Linked DNA regions of Macaca fascicularis. The main gene of each other region encodes a partner of the protein of the gene in region 2 in a complex. Links are inferred from orthologs where the notes say so. Each region holds a gene or a part of one and is shown on either strand. Other genes may lie near its edges. The genes, in order: AEBP2 and JARID2.

Region 1 (10,723 bases), on a different chromosome or scaffold from region 2:
ATCTCTCTTAACCTTACTTTGTCCAGTTAAAAAAATTGATTTGGTTTTCAACTAATTTTGGACTTTTTAATAAAAGCAGTATAGGTACAACATGGTTAAAATGGTATAAAAAGGGTGTATACAGTGAAAGATAAGTTTCTCTCCCACTCATCCCTTCTCCCATATATTCACTAGGTTTCATTTATCTTTCTGTGCCCTTGGAGACTAGCTATATCTCTGTCTCCCTCCCCCACTTAGGTATGCAAATTGGAACATTACTACCCTTCACTTGTGTTTGTTTTACTTAACTATACCTTGCAGATTGTTCCATGGTAGTTCATTGAGTTTTTATTACTCTTCCTGAGATTGTTTATAAATTGGTTATGATTGGTTGTTCACTTAGAATTATTAGTTTTTGCCTTAGAGTTAAATTAGTATGGTTTATGTAAGTATGTGCTTTATAGTTGAATGTTTTAAAATATATAAAGCAAGCGGTAGGGAAAATAGGTAACCATTTCAGGATTAAGGGCCTCATGAAACTTGAAATTTTCTTGCTCTGTCGCCCAGGCTGGAGTGCAGTGGTGCTTTCTTGGCTCACTGCAAGCTCCGCCTTCTGGGTTCACACCATTCTCCTGCCTCAGCCTCCGGAGTAGCTGGGAGTACAGGTGCCCGCCACCACGCCCGGCTAAGTTTTTGTATTTTTAGTAGAGATGGGGTTTTACTGTGTCAGTCAGGATCGTCTTGATCTCCTGACCTCGTGATCCGCCCTCCTTGGCCTCCCAAAGTGCTGAGATTACAGGTGTGAGCCACCGCCTGGCCAGGGGAAACTTGAAATTTCTAGGGTTTAAATAAAATTTGTATTTCGGTGTAGAAAACCACCATACCCAAGGTTACTCCTGCAACAACAAACAATATATGCATATTCAGATATTCAAGAACTGATTCACATTTGAGATTACAGAGTTTTAGAATGAAGCCTTAGAGATGCAATTTAGAATCTTATGCTGACTAGGCAGGTAAATATATATTTATTGCATTTAACTAACTAGGTAGATAGTTAGATGAGCTTAGATACTAGAATATCCTTTAAAGGAAAACCCAAGACATTTTTCTTTTTTTTTTTTTTTTTTTTTTTTTTTTTTTGAGACGGAGTCTCACGCTGTTGCCCAGGCTGGAGTGCAGTGGCGCGATCTCGGCTCACTGCAAGCTCCGCCTCCCGGGTTCACGCCATTCTCCTGCCTCAGCCTCCTGAGTAGCTGGGACTACAGGCGCCCGCCACCGCGCCCGGCTAATTTTTTGTATTTTTAGTAGAGACGGGGTTTCACCGTGGTCTCGATCTCCTGACCTTGTGATCCGCCCGCCTCGGCCTCCCAAAGTGCTGGGATTACAGGCTTGAGCCACCGCGCCCGGCAGCCAAGACATTTTTCATATCTGAAGCATCCTACAAAAATATCTGCTTTTAAAAATGGATATGTTTCTAGCGTGGGCTACAATACAAGACTCCGCCTCTACAAAAAAAAAAAAAAATTTAGCTGGGTGCAGTGGGTTATGCCTGTAGTCCTAGTACTTTGGGAGGCCAAGGCAGGAGGATTGCTTGAGCCCAGCCTGGGCAACATAAAGAGACGTCGTGTTTACAGAAATTTAAAAAATTTAGTCGACCATAGTGGTGCACACCTGTAGGCCCGGCTACTCAGGAGGCTGAGGTAGGAGGATCACTTGAGCCTGGTAGGTCAAGGCTGCAATGAGCCGTGTTAGCACCACTGCACTATAGGCGTGGCAACGGGGTGAGGATCCTGCCTTAACATCCCCCTAACCCCCCACAGTGGGTATGTTTGATGTTAGACACAGATCATTATAAAGCTTACTTAAGCTAACAAAATTCATGTAAATTTTCTCCGGTGTGAGTGAATAGGTTGTATTGGTATATAGATGAATGTTCTTTTTAGTTTTTGAGACAGAGTCTCGCTCTGTCACCCAGGCTGGAGTGCAGTGGTATTATCTTGGCTCACTGCAACCTCCTCCTCCCAGGTTCAAGCAATTCTCTGCCTCAGCCTCCTGAGTAGCTGGGATTACAGGCATGCGCCACCACGCCCTGCTAATTTTTGTATTTTTAGTAGAGATGTGATTTCACCATCTTGACCAGGCTGGTCTTGAACTCCTGACCTTGTGATTCACCCACCTCAGCCTCCCAGAGTGCTGGGATTATAGGCGTGAGCCCCCGCACCTGGCCTGAATGTTTTTTTTTTTTTGTTTTTTTGAGATGGAGTCTAGCTGTGTCGCCCAGGCTGGAGTGCAGTGGCATGATCTCTGCTCACTACAATCTCCGCCTCCTGGGTTCACACCATTCTCCTGCCTCAGCCTCTGGAGTAGCTGGGACTGCAGGCACATACCACCATGCCTGGCTAATTTTTTGTATTTTTAGTAGAGACGGGGTTTCACCATGTTAGCTAGGATGATCTCAATCTCCTGATCTTGTGATCTGTCCGTTGCAGTCTCCCAAAGTGCTGGGATTATAGGCATGAGCCACTGTGACCTGCCTGAATGTTCTTTTTTTTAAGAAGGTATGTGCTGTGGTTGACTGTCATGATGCCTGCAACTTTGAAATGATTCAGAGAAACAGATTACAGATAGCAAATACGGTAAAAATGTTAATTGAATTCAGATTTAGCTATATTTTGTGTCTTTGAAATTTTCCATGATAAAAACTTGGCAGGAGGGAAGCATACCTCTTTAAAGTTAATACAATTTTCACAACTTGACTTGTGTTATTTCTTAAATTGCAAGCAGATATACACCCTTTCACAGATTTAGTCTGAAAACATTCTTCCTCTTGACCCTTATGATTGAAGTGACTTTCATGTAATTTATTTATTGAGAAGATTTTGAAAAAAGAAAATAAGTGAATTGCTTTTAAAATTAAGGAAAAAGTGTGGTACATTTTATTAAGCTGTGAATTTTTGAGCATTTTGACCACTAATAATATAATTTTTTTAAATAAAAGAGTTACTACTATGTAATACTTTATTTTATTTTTTGAGACAGAGTTTTGCTCTTGTTGACCAGGCTGGAGTGCAATGGCGTGATCTTTAATTTAATTTAATTTTATTTTATTTTATTTTTTGAGACAGAGTTTTGCTCTTGTTGACCAGGCTGGAGTACAGTGGTGCGATCTCCACTCACTCCAACCTCTACCTCCTAGGTTCAAGAGATTCTCCTGCCTCAGCCTCCCGAGTAGCTGGGATTACAGGCACCTGCCACCACACCCAGCTAATTTTTTGTATTTTTAGTAGCAATAGGTTTTCACCATGTTGAGCAGGCTGGTCTCGAACTCCTGGCCTCAGGTAATCTACCCGCCTCGGCCTCCCAAAGTGCTGGGTTTGCAGGAGTGATCCACCACGTCCAGCCATATGTAATACTTTAGTAAATAAAAATTAAAAGGAATTGGTTGACGTTTTCAGTCTTGTTTTTATGGCTAGAGATGAGTTAAAAAAATAAAATTTTAGGGTCAGGAAAAGATTTTTTATTTGGACTTTAGAAAAATCAGAGACCAGTTTTCTCTCTTCTGCTTTTTTATTTATCAGGGAAAATACTGCAAAATCTCCCCAATTCTTTGATATGAAAAGGGAGTAGGAGTGGTAGCAGTTATATTTTCAGATTAATGATTAGAAGAGATTTCAGGTCAACAAGTGATTTGCAGAGCCATAAAGATAATGCTTTGATTATGTATTATTTACAGCTGGAAACTCTTACTTTCTCTTGCTGCTTTGAACTGTGGAAGGGATGAGATGTGATAAGCTGTGTGTGGGTGTGGGTGTGGTTTGTTTTCTGTAAGATATAGTATTGAGTTCATGCCTGCCAAAAGTTGCTTAAATTATTCCATATCTGATTTTGAGGTACTGTCATGTTTCTGTCTTGATTTGTACTTCATTGCCAACTAATTAATATCAAAGCATTGTTGTTTTCTAATGGAGAATATGGTTACTATGCTTTGCTCACATGGAGCAGAATGTCAAGTGGTAATCTTAATTAAGTATTTATAAGATCATATTCATGTTAGTATATTTCTAGGAATAACACAGCCTTTTTTCTTCTTTTGTAGCATAAGCAGTACTATAATGGATGTAGACAGCACAATTTCCAGTGGGCGTTCAACTCCAGCAATGATGAATGGACAAGGAAGCACTACTTCTTCAAGCAAAAATATTGCCTATAATTGTTGTTGGGACCAGTGCCAGGCTTGCTTCAACTCTAGCCCAGATCTGGCAGATCACATCCGTTCCATACATGTAGATGGTCAGCGAGGAGGGGTTGGTTTTGTCATTTCTTTTTTTCACTCCCTGTTTTCGTTAGTTTTATTATAATTGCTAGTTAGGCTTTTTTGCTGAAAGTAATTTGGGATTATTTTTACACAGGCTTAATTTTTTCAAGTGAATTTTTAATAATTATTTCCCAATTATTTGATAGAATCAAATAAAAATAGGATATGTGTTGGATTTTAGTTTGCTTTTAGATACGTTATTTTGAAGAAATTAGACTTTTAAAAATATAGTAGGTGACAGTATTATAAATGAATACAGTGTATTCCAGGGTTCTGATGTTTTGAGTTGAGAACATTTAGAATTAGCACTGTCTTGGTTTTCCTTTGTTAGAGGATCCTAAATTATTCCTGATGCTTAAATTAACTGGGGAGACTATTGGTACCAGGATTAGTATATGCAATTCTATTAAATGACAACCTGAACTCATTATTTGTGAGTGAGAGTTGATAATCTTTCCCAGGTCTTGACAAAACTATTTAGATGGAAAGTTCTGATTCGTCAGTATTGACCTATATCCTTTCAGGAATACATTTAATTGTGTCAGTTCATGTAACTTCTATTAGGTACTGAATAAAGAGCTAAGCAAATGGGTAAGCCAAAAGTAATGTGCCAGAATATTAATTTATACATTGTTTCAGCTTTACCTAGATTTTTGTTGAATAGTTATCACACTTAGTGCATTTTTCAGAAATTACTGTCACAGTGTAAGGGCAGGTAATTTATTAGTATTAGGCCACACATTTCTTATCAGCCTTCCATCACTATTGAAGAACAGATAACTAACATAGTAAAAACCATCATGGTTTAAGTTAGTGGATAACTGTTTCCAAGGTTCTGTTGATACTTAGAGTATAATATTGATCTTTTTTTTTTTAAACATCCAGCCAAGTCAACATTTCTAACATTTTAAGCAGTGATGTCATACTTGAATTTTTTTTTTTTTTTTTTTTTTTTGAGATGGAGTCTTGCTCTGTTGCCCAGGCTGGAGTGCAGTGGCGTGATCTTGGCTCACCACAGCCTCTGCCTCCTGGGTTCAAGTGATTCTCCTGCCTCAACCTCCTGAGTAGCTGGGATTACCAGTGCTTGCCACCATGCCTGGCTAATTTTTGTTTGTATTTTTAGTAGAGATGGGGTTTTGCCATGTTGGCTAGGCTGGTCTCGAACTCGTGAACTCAAGTGATCCGCCCGCCTTGGCCTCCCAGAGTGCTGGGATTATAGGCATGAGTCACCGTATGTGGCCGAAATTTCTTTTAAGACATATTCTTCCCTGTCACAATATATTATAATGTGTCAGCAGTCTTTTGATTACTCAAACTTGATAAGTAAACACTTGTACATTTGTCTTCTTGTTAGAGTTAATAGGTATGATGTCTGAGTAACCAGTAAAATGTTATACTTACCTATGATTTGTTAATTAACTGTGTCCATCATACGGTATTTTCAGTGTAAAACCCAGCTCAGTGGTTAGGCTACTTTGGTAACCCAGTCTTCTCCCCCAAGCCGTATGTCAGATACTTAGAGTGAAATATCTTAGCAAGTTGGTTTTCTGGCTTTTGTAGATCTGCTTTTTGTAAGCCAGTGCTTGATGTCACTTGGTATATACCATTTTTGAGCATCATGGCATGATGCTTTTTTGTCACTTGACTTAGCAACTGTATATAGAATCATGAGCTATTTGGAAGATCACTGGGCTTCTCTTGATGTGGAAGATGTGGGAGCGGTAGATGTGGGAGCGGGAGAATTTCACATTTCTGAGTCTTGGAATCCCGCAAGTCGAGTTGGCATACAACCTGATGAGAATTTCACCCCTTTCCAGATTTTTAGAAAAAATGCAATTACAGTCTGATTTTAATTTTTTTTTAAAGTAATTAATTTTTTTTTTTTTTTTGAGACAGAGTTTGGTTCTCGTTGCCCAGTCTGCAGTGCAATGGTGTGGTCTCAGCTCACTGCCATCTCTGCCTCCTGGGTTCAGGTGATTCTCCTGCCTCAGCCTCCGAGTATCTGGGATTACAGGCGTGAGCCACCATGCCTGGCTAATTTTTTTTGTATTTTTGGTAGAGACGGGATTTCACCATGTTAGCCAGGCTGGTCTCGAACTCCTGACCGCAGGTGGTCCACCCGCCTTGGCCTCCTAAAATGCTGGGATTACAAGTGTGAGCCACCGCATCTGGCCAAGACTGATTTTTAAAATAAATATATCATGTAATCACAGTAACTATATACATGTACATTGCTGATATTATAGAATTAGACATGAAATGTTGGCATTTGTCCCGTAAGTGTAATATTGAAATGAAAAATCTCCCATGTCATTTCTTGAACCCTTATTCAAAATATCACTTGATTACCAATAATAAGATTCTGTAGCTGATTTTAAGAGTAATGCTGTTTGGCCAGGCGCGGTGGCTCATGCCTGTAATCTCAGCTCTTTGGGAGGCTGAGGCAGGCGGATCACGAGGTCAGGAGTTTGAGACCAGCCTGGCCAATATGGTGAAACCCCATCTCTACTAAAAATACAGAAATTAGCTGGGTATGTTTGTGCGCCCCTATAGTCCCAGCTACTGGGGAGGCTGAGGCAGAAGAACCACTTGAACCCGGGAGGCGGAGGTTGCAGTGAGCTGAGATCGCACCACTTCACTCCAGCCTGGGTGACAGAATGAGACTCTGTCTCAAAAAATAAAATAAAATAAAAAGAGTAATGCTATTTTGACCAAAGATAGGAGTCCTGATCTTTGAAGGACATTATTTGCTAAACTATAAATGTGAAGGATCAAATAATGTAGAAAATGCATCCCAGTTTTTTCCTACACACCAGTCATTAGGATATAGACTATGGTTTGTTTGTTTGTTTGTTTGTAGAGATGAGGTTTCACCATGTTGCCCAGGCTGGTCTCCAACTCCTGGACTCCAGTGATCTGCCCGTCTTGGTCTCTGAAAGTGCTGAGATTACAATAGACTATGTGTTTTGAATGATAAAATATGAATGAGAAATTGAGGGTACTATTATAAAAGACAAGAAAACTCAATCCGATTTTGTGCTTTGAGATTGACTTTTGTGTTTGTTTTTTCTTTTATTTTCTTTTTTTGAGATGGAATCTCTGTTGCCCCGGCTGGAGTGCAGTGGCACGACCTCAGCTCACTACAACCTCTGCCTCTCGGGTTCAAGCAGTTCTCCTGCCTCAGCATCTCAAGTAGCTGGGATTACAAGTGTGCACCACCACGCCCAGCTAATTTTTGTATTTTTAGTATGGATGGGGTTTCACCATGTTGGCCAGGCTGGTCTTGAACTCCTGACCTAAGGAGTTCCTGAGGAGGACCTGATCATCCTCCTCAGCCTCCCAAGGTGCTGGAATTACAGGCGTGAGCCACCATGCCTAGCAGGTTTTGTGTTTTGAAGAGTAATTGTTGGTTGGAACATCAGATTTTTTTTCTTTGAAATGAACTTTAAGAAAACAAAAACATTTTCGGCTGGGCACAGTAATCCCAGCACTTTGGAAAGCTGAGGCAGGTAGATCGCTTGAGCTCAGGAGTTTTCAGGCCAGCCTGGGCAACATGACAAAATCCTGTCTCTACAAAAATTAGCTGGGTGTGGTGGCACACACCTGTGGTCTTAGCCACTCAGGGGGATGAGGTGGGAGAATTGCTTGAGCCTAGGAGGTTGAGGTGCTGTGAGATCACGCCACTGCACTCCAGCCTGGATGACAGAGTGAGATCCTGTCTCAAAAAAAAGAACAAAAAACAATTTTAATGTACAGTTCAGGGGCTTTAAGTACGTTCACCTTATTGTGTAATCGTCACCCACTGTCTCCAGAACTTGTAAATTATCATCCCAAATTGAGATGTATATCCATTAAACAAACTTACTGTCTGCTCCCACTAGCTCCTGGTAACCACAGTTCTACTTTCTATCTCTGTGTGTTTGACTGTTGTAGGTATCTAATATAAGTAGAAAACACCTGATTTTGTTGGCCTAATTATTTTTTTAGTTTTCTTATTTCTTCTTTCTCTCTTAAGTGTTAAAGTGTCATCATGGAACAGAAACAGATGAGGAAAAAATTGGTAACCCTAGAAGATTTTATGCTTCTGATTATTGAAAGATGACAATTTTACTGGAGCAGTAAGTTAGCAAGATCTAAACTATATTAATTTATGTTCTTTTTCTCATTCCACTATAATCTTTGCCCTGGGGAGAAAAGCAAAACCATTATATAACCACTTAGCATTGTTTTTTTCCCCCTTTTAAGCTGTTTATGTTGCTATGTTCATGTGGACTTCTTTGGAGGCTGAAGTCAAGTGGAGTTTAGATTTTCCTGGCCTGATTTCTACATTAAAATCAAACTAATCATTTAAACACCAAATTATGAATACACTTTTTTTTTCTTAGATATGAGGTCTCACTGTGTTGCCCATGCTGGTCTTGCCTTGGCTTCCCAAAGTGCTAGGATTACAGGCGTGAGCCACCATGCCCCGACCAATACACCTTTTTAAAAAAAAAAATCATTAGAGTGCTTTCTACAATTTCAAAAATAAAAACAAAACAGGCAAAAAGAGAATCAAACTTATCTTTAGTGTTAAATATGATAGAATTTTGTTACTGTTGCCCAGGCTGGAGTGCAGTGGTGCAATCTCCGCTCACTGCAACCTCCACCTCCCAGGTTTGAGTGATTCTCCTATGTCAGCCTCCTAAGTTGCAGGGACTACAGGTATGCTCCACCACACCTGACTGACTTTTGTATTTTTAGTAGAGATGGGGTTTCACCATGTTGGCCAGCCTAGTCTCGAACTCCTGACCTCAGGTGATCCACCTGCCTCTGGCTCCCAAAGTGCTGGGATTACAGGCCTGAGCCACCGTGCCTGGCCTAGGTCCGTTCTTCTGTGTGTGACTGATTTCTGAAGATTAGGCTCTGAGTTATCTTACTAATCAAATTTCAAATCCCAGTGTCCTCTTAATATACACCTAAGTCTTGGAAAGTGGGGAACTTATAGGACTTTAGAGGCTCAGTGTAAAATATATTACTGCTCTTTCTTTCTCAGCTATTTCTCACATAAAAACAATTTCTGGAAAGCTGTTTAGATTTCTTGATACAGGATTTATTTTCTGTGTCATTTCAGGTTTACTTTTGCATATATTCTTTGGTGTGTTTTTTTGCTGAGAGGCAAAGCGAGGCGATTTTGGGCAAGGGAGGAATATGATACGATGTTATTGGAAGACTTGAATGAGTACAGTTAACTATAGCGCTCAGGAGGTCAAGGTTGCAGTGAGCTATGATTGTGCCTCTGCCTTACAGCCTGGATGATAGAGCAAGATTCTGTCTCATTTAAAAAAAAAAAAAAGAAAAGAAAAATAAGGCTTGATGGTATCATGGAATCATCCGTCCACCCCCTCTGTCTGACTTTTGTGTTTTTTTTTGTTAATGAGACAGAGTCTTTTTTTTTTGTTTTTGTTTTTGTTTTTGAGACGGAGTCTCGCTCTGTCGCCCAGGCTGGAGTGCAGTGGCGCGATCTCGGCTCACTGCAAGCTCCGCCTCCCGGGTTCACGCCATTCTCCTGCCTCAGCCTCCCGAGTAGCTGGGACTACAGGCGCCCACAACCGCGCCCGGCTAATTTTTTGTATTTTTAGTAGAGATGGGGTTTCACCGTGGTCTCGATCTCCTGACCTTGTGATCCGCCCGCCTCGGCCTCCCAAAGTGCCGGGATTACAGGCATGAGCCACCGCGCCCGGCTGAGACAGAGTCTTACTATGTTTTCCAACTCCTGGGCTTAAGCAGTGCTCCCACCTCGGCTTCTTGAGTTCCTGGGATTCCAGGCAAGAACCACCACACTCAGCTGGCCTACCTGACTTTAGATGGTGTCGCTCTTTTCTTTTTGTGTCATTTTACTGAAAACAAGATCATTTACTCAGTATAATTAGGCCTTTATTTTGGCATGTAGATTATTCCGTTAACTTGCTCTGCGTTTAGAATATATTTGGCTGATTTTAATTTACTGGTAATAACTGAATTTCCTTGTGCATACTTAGGCAGGTTAACATTCCATTTTTTTGCAGTGGATTTTTCATTTATTTACAGAAAGATTTCATGGATTCATTTGTGCTCTTCAGGTGCATAGGTGTTTGTGCGTTTGTCTGTACTATCATACAAGCCATTTTAAGTATAGGCCATTCAAATACACTCAGATACATACACTGGTACAAGGATGCACTGGTTCATACACTGGTTCGAGGATATTGACCAAAGTGAAGGAGACTCAGACAACTCTTGGCTCCCAGGTTTGTACTGTCCTTACTCACTTTGGGTGTTTTGGAGAAGATTCCTGAAGGTAAAACCTGTTCTGATAGAAACTCAGTACTTTGTAGAGTTCTTAACAGAAAGCCGAAACCTCCCTGTAACACTGAAATTTTAGACATCTACATCTCATGTGTAAGG
Region 2 (10,723 bases):
AAAACCCTGTCTCTACTAAAAAGAAAAATTAGCCGGGTGCATGGTGGCACATGCCTGTAATCCTAGCTGAGGCAGGAGAATCACTTGAACCCAGGAGGCAGAGGTTGCAGTGAGCCGAGATCATGCCACTGCACTCCAGTCTGGGCAACAGAGTGAGACTCCGTCTCTAAAACAAAACACAATGCACAGCTCAACAGGGGACAGAGGCACAGACTTGCTTACTGAACTACATCAGCCGCTGCAGAGTATGCAGTTTCTAAATACCTTTGCTCCTCCTAATTCATCAAAACCAACCATTAGGTCTTAGCCCCTGCATGCCATTCTTTTCCCAGGATCTGGTCACGTCAGACATGCAGCTGCAGAAACAGGCTGCTGGTGAGGGGCGCAACGCACGATCCACAGAGCACTTTCCAGGCAGCCAGAGGAAGCCTTCCTGTGCCAGCACCTGCACTGCACAAGGTGCCAGAGCCACACTCATCTCGGCCGCGAAGGCTTCGTTGTTTGTGACTGTGCCTGGACGTTTGCTGTTGAGGTGGAGGAGGGACAGCAGGTGCTTACTGCCTTCACCCAGCATGCTCTTTGAAACAAAACAGATGCAAAGAGTTCTTCTTCCAGCTCTCCAATCGTTTAGCTCAAGGCTTATTGAGTGAGACCCACCACTTGGCCCCACCGCTTGGGCCCCCAGACGCACCAGGCCCCGCACAGTCAGACCCGCAGCACCCGCCCCACTCAGTGGCCTCAACTGTGCAATGACCACAGTGTGGTGACCGTCCTCGTAACCAGCCTCATCAGAGTCCGTGGGAAGCACACGCAGGGAAGGCGGGCAGAGCAGGGGAAGCACACGTGGGGCAGAGCAGGGGAGAGGCACTGCTGCCAGTTCCGCCACTCAGGGCAGCCCCCAGCTGCACAGGCTGTGCACTGTTACGACCTCTCCCTCCAGAAGAGCTGGCGCCTGCAGGATGGCACTGGGACTTCCCATCCTGCCCCAGTGTCTGCAGACACTTCCAGCTCTCTCAGCCTGGAGGGGCTGGCGTCGAGTGAGTGGAGATTGGCGAGTCCACTGCCAACCGTCCCACTGTGCCTGGGACAGGTCACCACAAAAAAGGGTCTGGCTCTAAACCACAGTGGTGCAGCCCCTGGGAAAGTCAGTGAGGCTGCAAGAAGAGCCTCAGCCCTGGTGAGAGCCCATCTCTGAAATCCAAATGCACGGCACTCCGGGCCCATGCAGGAGCCCTGCTCCCCTCGGGATCCTAATGTGGGGCCTGAGTGGGTTTAGGGCTTAAGAACAGGACACCTCAGGCCTGCAGAGCCCTGGCTGCCCACCAGGCACAGAACTGCCAGGCCGGAGGGCCTACATCCAGCCAGGACCAGGGAAGGCGCCACGCTGCCACCCCACCCTACCCCGCGGGCAGGGACTGACCTCATCGTAGCGGTACATCAACTTCAGCCCTCGGCAGGACTTCTGTTTCTCCACATGGCGCAGAGCACACTCCAGACAGAACACGACGTTTTCGTTCTCTTGTACCACCTGCAAGCAAGAGCAGGACACCCGGAGGTCAGAACACAACTCCACAGCACCCTGGGAGGGTAAAGTGGGCGCATGCCCAGCCAGGCAGCCCTCACACCCACGGCCCCAGCCAGAGCAGCCCTGGCACCCACCACCCGGGCCAAGGGCTTTGAGGCCTGGAAACACTGGAGATGGACTCAAACGAAAACCGACAAACCACCTGAAACATGGTCTTCAACTAGGAAAGTGAGGAGCGGACGACCTCTGAGTGAGACCTGGGGTGGCCCTCATGTCCCCTCCAGATTTCTGCTGGAGTTTCCTGGGAGAGGTTCAGTCACCACCAGGCTGGTAAAGACAGTGAGGGGTACATTTTCTAATCTCTTGAGTTCTGAGGGCTGCTGAGACCCTGGGTTCGAAACCACCCTAGTGCTGGCATAGATGTGGAACATGGAGGACTCCAACTCGGGCAGCCACGCAGGAAACACGCCCTGGACTTTCCAGCAGCAAAACTGGTTCTCATGGTGGTCCACGAGCGGCTCAGTCAACAGAGCAAGGGGCATCCAATGACCCCATGCAAACTCCCCCGACACCCTCAACATCACAGATTCCTGGCCTCTGCAGTGCGGACCAGCTCACCCACCAGCCCCGGCCTCCCTGGGCGGGCTGTCCGCCAGCTGTGGATGCCTTGCTGCCTAAGGCCACAGGAGACTGCTGGGACAGAGACCCTCACTGCGGGCCTGTCCACCTGGCTTCTGTGGGAGGGCTCCCATACTTCACGCTGACTCCAAGTACTATTCTAATTCTGAGTTTGAAAATAAGGAAAAATTCAGTCTCAATACTCAAGAGGCAGAAGGGTCACAGGCCTTTCTCAGAAAGCTTGAGGGGAAGGACTTGTTTTCGTCTGCAGTGTTTCTAAGCGAGAAACAGAGAACATGTTGTAGGAGTGTGGGAATGCCACCTACTGACACAAGACCTTAGAGAGACACTTGGGGCCAAGGACAGGAAGAATAGGAAACACATCTAATTAAAATTTACAAATGTATTAGTAATCCAAGCAATGCAAATTGTCAACACAAGTCAGACCCCAATTTTTGCCCATGGATTTTTATATATATATATATATATATATTTTTTTTTTTTTAAGATGAAGTCTCACACTGTCACCTGGGCTGGAGCGCAATAGCGCGATCTTGGCTCACTGCAACCACTGCCTCCAGAGGAGCTGGGACTACAGGTGCGTGCCATCACACCCGGCTAATTTTTTTGTATTTTTAGTAGAGACGGGGTTTCACCATGTTGGCCAGGCTGTGACTGGCCCGCCTCGGCCTCCCAAAGTGCTGGGATTACAAGTGTAAGCCACTGTGCCTGGCCTTTTTTTTTTTTAAATTAAAGAGACAGGTTGTCACTCTGTCACCCAGCCTGCAAAGGCTCACTGTAGCCTTGAACTTCTGGGCTCAAGTGATACCCCCACCACCACACCCAGTTAATTTTTTGTAGAAATTGAGTCTCACTATGTTACCCAAGCTGGTCTCGCACTCCAGGCCTTGAGTGATCTGCCCATCTTTGCCTCCCAGAGCACTGGGATTAGCCTACCATGGCCGGCCTCACAATATATTCTTTTGAAAATAACTTTCAGGCTGACAGGAAATGCCACGTGACAACTCTGCAGTTTCTGAAGGATGGCTTGAAAATGAAGCCACCTGGTGCCACCTCACATGGACAGACCAGCTTCACCCCCAGGAGTAACCACCATACAGCCCTCACACACATGGACAATGAATAGAGTGTTCCAGCAAGAGGATGGACAGCTGGGCACAGTGACCCATGCCTGTAATCCCAGGGCTCTGGGAGGCTGAAGTAGGCAGCCTATGGGTAACATAGCAGAACCCCACCTCTACCAAAACTAAAAGTTAGCCGGGCGTGGTGGTACACCTGCTATCCCAGCTACTCCGGAGGCTGAGGCTCCAGTGAGACAGGATCACACCACTGCACTCCAGCCTGGGCAACAGAGCGAGACTGTCTCAAAAAAAAAAAAGAAGGAAAAAAGAAAAGAAAGAGCACACCAAGCTATGCAGCTTTTATCAGTGATGTTCATAAGGTACTTTGAAGATCTGAGAAAATGCTTATCATTTTAAGAACAGAATGGCTCTAGGTAATACATTTTGAGAAGTCTGGGGGAAAAACTAGATAGAAGGAAACCTACAGGATGGGAGGCAGGGTGGTCACGGACTGCATTTGTCCCCCATGAAATGCCAGCGTGAACCTCCAGGACCTCAGCTGTGACTGCAGGAGGAGGTGGAGCCTCTAAAGAGGTAAATCGGCTCGAATGAGGCCATGAAGGGGCCTATCGGATACACCGTGAGTTGTGTCCTTAGGTAAGGAGGAGACGAGGACACACAGAGTTTTCAGCTCTTTCAAATGGTACAAAGCCCCGATCTGACTCGTCCGGGAGAGGCCGTGTCCTCCCTCTTCTACAGGGCACGCCAGGACTTGGGGTGAGGCGGCATGACCCAGTCACACTGGGAGGCCGAGGAGAGTCGACCCAGGTCTCAGTCCTGGCCCACCGTGGACAAGCAGAGGGACGCAGAGGCACTGGCCCCTCGGGGAACGTGCAGCTGGAGGGGACACCTGTGGGACACAGGCACCACGGCGTATGGAGCGGGCGCCTCCTAGCTAGGCCTCTGCACTGGAGGAGGGAGGCACTGTGGAAAGGGAAGAGGCCCAGGGAGGCAGGTCAGGCCTGTCGGGCATGCTCTCTGTTCCAGGCTAAGGTGTGTAGTGGCGTGGAGCCATCTGCAGTGCCAGCCAGGCATCCCTGCCCAGAGTGTGTCAGGACAGCTGCCTGCTGAGAGGTCAAGGGAGGACTGGAAGAAGCATGGTGAGGGCCACAGCCGTCCAGTTGCCATGGAAGGGCTTTTCTGAGCCCACCTCTGGTCTAGGACAGGGCAAGCAGGGGAGGAGGCAGTGTTTGTTATTAAGCCCAAAGCTGGGGAAGGCAGGTGGTCACAAGGAGGCCGGCAGGGTACAGTCGAGAAGGCGAGAGGAATGCAGTCTGCTGTAGCCTGGAGTGGCTGTGCCAGAAAAGCAGCTCTGATCCCAGATGGGACAGGGGGAGCATCAGCTTTCAACAAGGACAGATTCCCAAGTCCTTGGGGGCTGAGGCAGATCATGTACCTGAGCAGAACCAGGAAGCCAAGAACAGAGCCAAAGGGCACAGGCCATGGGCCCAAGTCTACCAAGCACAGGTCACTGGGCGGGGGGTGGCAGACGCTGCCCAGCACTGTGGGAAACCCGCCCCGACCGTCTCAAAAAGTATGAAGAGCAGAGTGCGTGGGGGCTGGGGTGACAAAGTAGGGGGGGGAGGGAGGCCACCTGCTCCGCAAGGAGGAAGGAGGCACCGCGGGACCGAGAGAGGGCCACGTGTGGGCAGAGTAGAGGGACAGCCTCTGTGTGGCCTGGTCACTGCGGGTGAGGCAGCCGCCTCCAGAGGTCAGAAGCTCTGCTGAGGTCCCACAGCCAGCTCCAGAGATGGGAGCACAGCAGGTCTCCTGTGCAGAGAGCACCCTCCCTCTTCTGGGGGCAACCCTGGAGCTCTCAGGGGAAGCACTGCACACAAGGGCGCCGGCCGTGCCAGGTGGGCTCACCATAGACAGATAGCACAGGTGCTGGCAGATCTGACACCTCCTCTCCGACGTCTCCAACTGCAGCCACTTTCGAGGCTTTTTCTTCCCGTCCGCCACCGTGCTGCTGCCATCATGGCTGCCGTAGCGCGCGGAGGAGTGGAGGCCAGCCTCGAACAGCTGCCTGCGCTGCCGCAGCTCTGTATCCCTGCCAGACACGGGGGACGGCCCACGCCTTTAGTGACAGCCAGCCATGCTCACCAGCAGCAGGACATGCACTTCCCACACCGGCCTCCCTCCAGACACACCCTCCTGTCAGAAGTGAGGCCTGCTCAGGGTTCAGAGCCCAGCTCACCTCCCCGGGTGCCTTAGTCCACAGATCAGTAGCAGCCCTGGCTGATGAGGCTACTCTGTGGCCAGACTTAGTAATGCAGGCGTCACAACGCCTGCAAAACCACGGCCACCTAGTAAGGGCTTCTCCCTGTGTCCCAAGCCCAGGAGAGAGTCAAGATACTATCACCAAAAGTTCAAAATTCATGTGCTCACAACACAACCCAGAGCCTTGCTCCAGGATGGGAGAGGCACCGAGAACTACACGGTAGGGAAGAGAGAAGAGGGTTACACGGGCGCCACTCTGCTCAGCGTCCGCCCTGACCTGCTCCACACACATACACACCCACACCCCCCCCCACACACACCCCCCACACACACACCCCCACACACCCCACACCCCACACACACACACCCCACACACACCCCACACACACCCCACACACACACGCACCCCCTACACACACACCACACATATGGACACCACACACACACCCCACACACCCACACCCCCCACCCCACACACACACCCCCCACCCCACACACACACCCCACACACCCACACCCCCCACCCCACACACACACCACACACCCCCCACACCCCCCACACACACCCCACACACACACCCCTCCCCACACACACCCCACACACACACCCCACACACACACGCACCCCCTACACACACACCACACATACGGACACCACACACACACCCCACACACCCACACCCCCCACCCCACACACACACCACACACACCCCACACCCCCCACACACACACCCCTCCCCACACACACCCCACACACACACCCCTCCCCACACACACCCCTCCCCACACACACCCCACACACACACCCCCCACCCCACACACACACCACACACACCCCACACCCCCACACCCCCCACACACACCCCACCACACACACCCCACACACACACCCCACACACCCCCCCCACACACACGCACCTACACACACACCACACACACCACACATACGGACACCACACACACACCACACACACCCACACCCCCCCACACACACACCACACCCCACACACACACCACACACACCCCCCCACACACACACCCCACACACACACGCACCCCCTACACACACACCACACACACCACACATACGCACACCATACGCACACCACACACACACGCACCCCCTACACACACACCACACACACCCCACACACCACACATAACGCACACCCCACACACACACACCCCACACACCCCACACACCACACATAACGCACACCCCCCACACACACACCCCACACACCCCCCCACACACACCACCTACACACACCCCACACACCCACCACACATACGCACACCCCACACACCCCCCCACACCCCACACACACACACCACACATACGCACACCACACACCACACATACGCACACCACACACCACACATACGCACACCACACACACCCCACACACGCACACACCACACCCCACACACATACGCACACCACACACACCCCCCCCACACACACACCACATACGCACCCCACACACCCCCCACACCACACACACACCACACACACACCACACACACACCCCCCACACACACACCCCACACACACACACCACACAGACGCACACCACACACCCCCCACAAACCACACACACACCACACACACACACCCCCCACACATACGCACACCACACACACCCCCCACACCACACATACGCACACCACACACACCCCACACACACACACCACACACGCACACCACACATCCCACACATCCCACACACCCCCCACACCACACACAGACACACAGCACACACACACACACACCACACACACACCACACACGCACACCACAGACACACGGCACACACACACAAAGGGGTTGGCAAGAAAATGGAGGGTGGAGGACCGGGGGCAGCTATCCACGCCTTCCCCTAACTGGTGCAGAGCCAGGCTCTGACGCAGTGGGTCAGCAAGTACGTGTCAGGGGTCGGGCGCCCCCCTTGCAGTCAATCCCACAAAGAGGAGGAACCTCTTGGTGCTGGAGGTTCGGAGTCCGAACATCAAGGGGAAATTATTTTCTTAAAAAAAAAAATGTTAAAATAAAAACCAGCACACCCTGAGCCTCTGCCCATCTGGAAAAGCATCACATGGGCCGTGCAGTGCCAAGGGGCTCTGCGGCTGCAGGCAGGCAGCGCTGTCTGCTCACCCCGGGCGTCTACCCGGCTAAGCCCCCGAAGGGCAGCCAGGTCAAGCTCTCTGACGTGGGCCCTGGGGGTCTCCCAGAACCCCGAGTCTGTTACCTGAGCTCGTCCAGAAGGGCTGAGATGGTACTGAGAGTGGGCCCGTTTTCTTTCTTTGCTTCTGCTTGTGCAATCTGGTAGAGTAACTTCTCCATGGAGAATGGCTTAGCTATATGGCGACGCTTCATTTCCTGAAAGAGGAGTCACATCCCTTTAGCGTGGATTTTCATGACTAGGCAGCTGTCAAGGTTCTTCTTGGTGGAGGGGCAGGCCGGCTGTCCGAATTTCTAAATCTTGAATTGCATTTGGATTAAAAACTCTTCAAAACTTTGCCTCCCTGTGAGAAAGGCACCACATACCAGGAGAAGTCACAGCACTTCGCCACTACCCAGAGGCAGCTGCCACCACCTCACGATGGGTGGAGGTTCTCTGTCCATTCATTCTAAGCAATTACCTTAAGTATCTTCAGTAGTTTTCCAATACTGGAGGGATCTGTCAGTAACGGTATGATCAAAACTCTTTGTGATACAAACAAATCCCTAACTTTTCACTCCTAGAAGACCTTTCAACCACCTCCTAAGAATTTCAAAGACATATTCCAAAAGGAACTATCTACAGATAGACACGCACACGCAGGGCTGCTTCTGTGTGCAATCACGCACGGCGCTCACACGGATGCGGGGGCAGCCAGCGGGAGGAGGCTGGCTCTGCTTACCTTGGCGGTCTCAAAGCCCATACTTGTCCACTGGGTGGTAGCAAAGTGCACGGTTTCAGACACGCTGTACCCACAGCACACTTTGGACACAAAGGATCCCGGGAAGCAGACGACAAACTGGCCACTCTGCTGCACGGTCCTGTGCACCTTGATCCCCTCTTTGCACAGCACCTCCGGGGAGATCTGGGGAGACAGGGCCAGGCTGAGGCACACCCCCTCCCTGTGCGCCGGGACACCTGCAGCCTTCAGGTGAGGCATGAGCACCCTAAGAGGCCTGCTCTCAAGGAGACAAGATTGCTTTATGTGGAAAATAAAAAGATGTCATTCATAACACAAGAAGAAGTTCTAAATTGCACTGGCCCCAGAGTGATGACAGGTTCATGCACAGCTGAGGACATGATGACCACACAGGCCCCTCTGTCCCCACCTGGCAATGCCATGGGGTGGAAACGGGACAAGGTTACACAACCAGGAGGCTGCCGGGCTCATCTCCAGAGCCAAGTAGGCCACAGGCCCACAGGCTGCGCTTACAAAGGAGTCCCCCGTCCATCTCTTCTCTAAGATGGACAGGCTGGACCAGCAGGGTCAGCAGAGGCCAGAGAAGCTGGTCAGAACACAGCCCAAAGCAGCACCTCCCAGGAGCTCACCAGCCCCATGACTTCCTGAAAACAAGTGAAGAAGCCTTTGTGCTCATTCCTCTCATGTGCCCAGAAGGTAGGAGCAGCGGGCACAAGAAAACCCAGAGTCCACAGCAGCCCTCAACATGAACAAGCCCCAAAACAGATGCAAAGGCCGTGCAAAACCCCAGCACCCTGTGCAATCTGATGGATGGTCAGTTTGGCTTTTGTGTCTGAGGACCTTTCCCTTTGCACCCTGGGGATTTGTTTTGCTGTGTTCTCATTGCCTTTGAAAAGCAGGTTCATGGGAAACCATGTTCAAGTGCCTAGGAGGTCCTACAGTTCCTGCTGGAGGCGGCGGCTGAGTGGACGCACCATGACGTTGCTTTCCAGCATCTGCAGCCCTGGGGTGCCATTGGCTTGCAGCAGGGTGTGGACCACGTCTTCCAGCTTGTTCTCCTCCTCAGCAGGAATGCAATACCTGGGTCATTGAGAGACACAAGAGACAAGCAGACACTTGACAAGGGCCTCCTGCATGTACTGGGCCGCCCCCCGTCACCCTCAGGGACCCGAGCACACGGGAGAGGCTCTGCTCCACGCCAGCAGGGACAGGGCGCTGGCCTGGCCGGGTGCCTGGTCACCACTGGCTCCTATTTCCCACGGCAGCAGCGCCACGTCCACCTAGCACACAGCCAAACCGCAGCGCACCGCGATGCAAGGTGCTCATCTTTTCCGCAGATCTGACCCACCTGGTGAGCCAAAAAGCCTTCAAACCAGAAACAGATGTTCACAAACCCCTATAAACCAGAACCAGACACACTGCAGCCTCCACGGGCCTCTTCGGAGGCTCCGGCACTGCACCCTTCTTCTGTTAACAGAGACTGCCGCAGGAGCAGGACATGACAGTGTCCTGACAAGGAATGTGTGGCTCCTTCGGCCCTCCAGCCAGGACAGTAAACCCTGCCTTCTACAAATGCACAGAGTTGGGAAAAAGCCAGGCTCAGGCACATGCACCACCTCAAGGCCAACTCCTTGGCAGACACTGTGGCGAAGTGGGGCTCCGGGGTTACCTAGCGGCCCCCAGCTCTGCTCCCCGCTAGGGAGTTCTGTGTGTCAGGACCCAGCCCACACAGGAGGATCAGGGCACACAGGACTGCGTCAGAGGGTGGCCTGGGGAAGTGGTGGCTCCCAGACCCTCCAGGGTCTAAGCGTGAGGCTGGCAGGGGTCCTCGAGTGTGAGAAAAGGTGGGAGGTACAGGTAGAAAGTGACCTACGCGGCCTCCTCACGGCAATCACAGGGAGGGGAGGGGGTTTTGCCCGTATCCTCGGTGTCCCAAGGAGCCCACCAGGGCCACACGTCCACTCACAACATGTGACGCCCCTGGTGCCAGGCGCACAGCATGAATGACGGGCATGTGAGGGGAGGCCCATGCAGGGCAGGGGTGCAGGGATGGCTGCCCTGCTCCTGGGCGTCTCAGGCTGTCTGAGGGGCTCCTCCCCGGGCAAGAGGAGGACATCAGTGTGGAGAGGGGCCGGACAGATCTTCAGGATGCTAAACCAGTGAAGCCATCAGCCACCACTAAAAACAAAGACGTGGGCCAGCAGCTCAGGGCAACACCGCCAGCCCCTCCCAACAGCCCCCGCCCCCGGTCCAGGGCCCACCTTTGCACAGCAGGCAGCGACTGCGGCCCCTAAGT

Evidence for each region.
Region 1: the proteins of JARID2 (region 2) and AEBP2 are in contact, whole or in part, in a cryo-EM structure (PDB 8VNZ), measured with the Homo sapiens proteins. The link is inferred for Macaca fascicularis from reciprocal best matches to the Homo sapiens genes JARID2 and AEBP2. Residues at the interface, in NP_004964.2 of Homo sapiens: Ser148, Lys151, Pro152, Lys153, Thr154, Glu155, Asp156, Leu158, Thr159; in NP_001107648.1 of Homo sapiens: Arg407, Ala410, Ile411, Asn414, Leu415, Glu420, Ser421.

The regions. Positions count from the first base shown.
Region 1 is NC_088385.1:22,279,386-22,290,108, forward strand, and holds part of AEBP2 (zinc finger protein AEBP2), read left to right. Parts: intron 1-4,078; coding exon 4,079-4,286; intron 4,287-8,312; exon of another isoform or gene 8,313-8,415; intron 8,416-10,723. UniProt on the Homo sapiens protein: Acts as an accessory subunit for the core Polycomb repressive complex 2 (PRC2), which mediates histone H3K27 (H3K27me3) trimethylation on chromatin leading to transcriptional repression of the affected target gene.
Region 2 is NC_088378.1:157,430,736-157,441,458, forward strand, and holds part of JARID2 (protein Jumonji), read right to left. Parts: intron 9,508-10,723; coding exon 9,402-9,507; intron 8,593-9,401; coding exon 8,410-8,592; intron 7,886-8,409; coding exon 7,755-7,885; intron 5,336-7,754; coding exon 5,152-5,335; intron 1,529-5,151; coding exon 1,421-1,528; intron 1-1,420.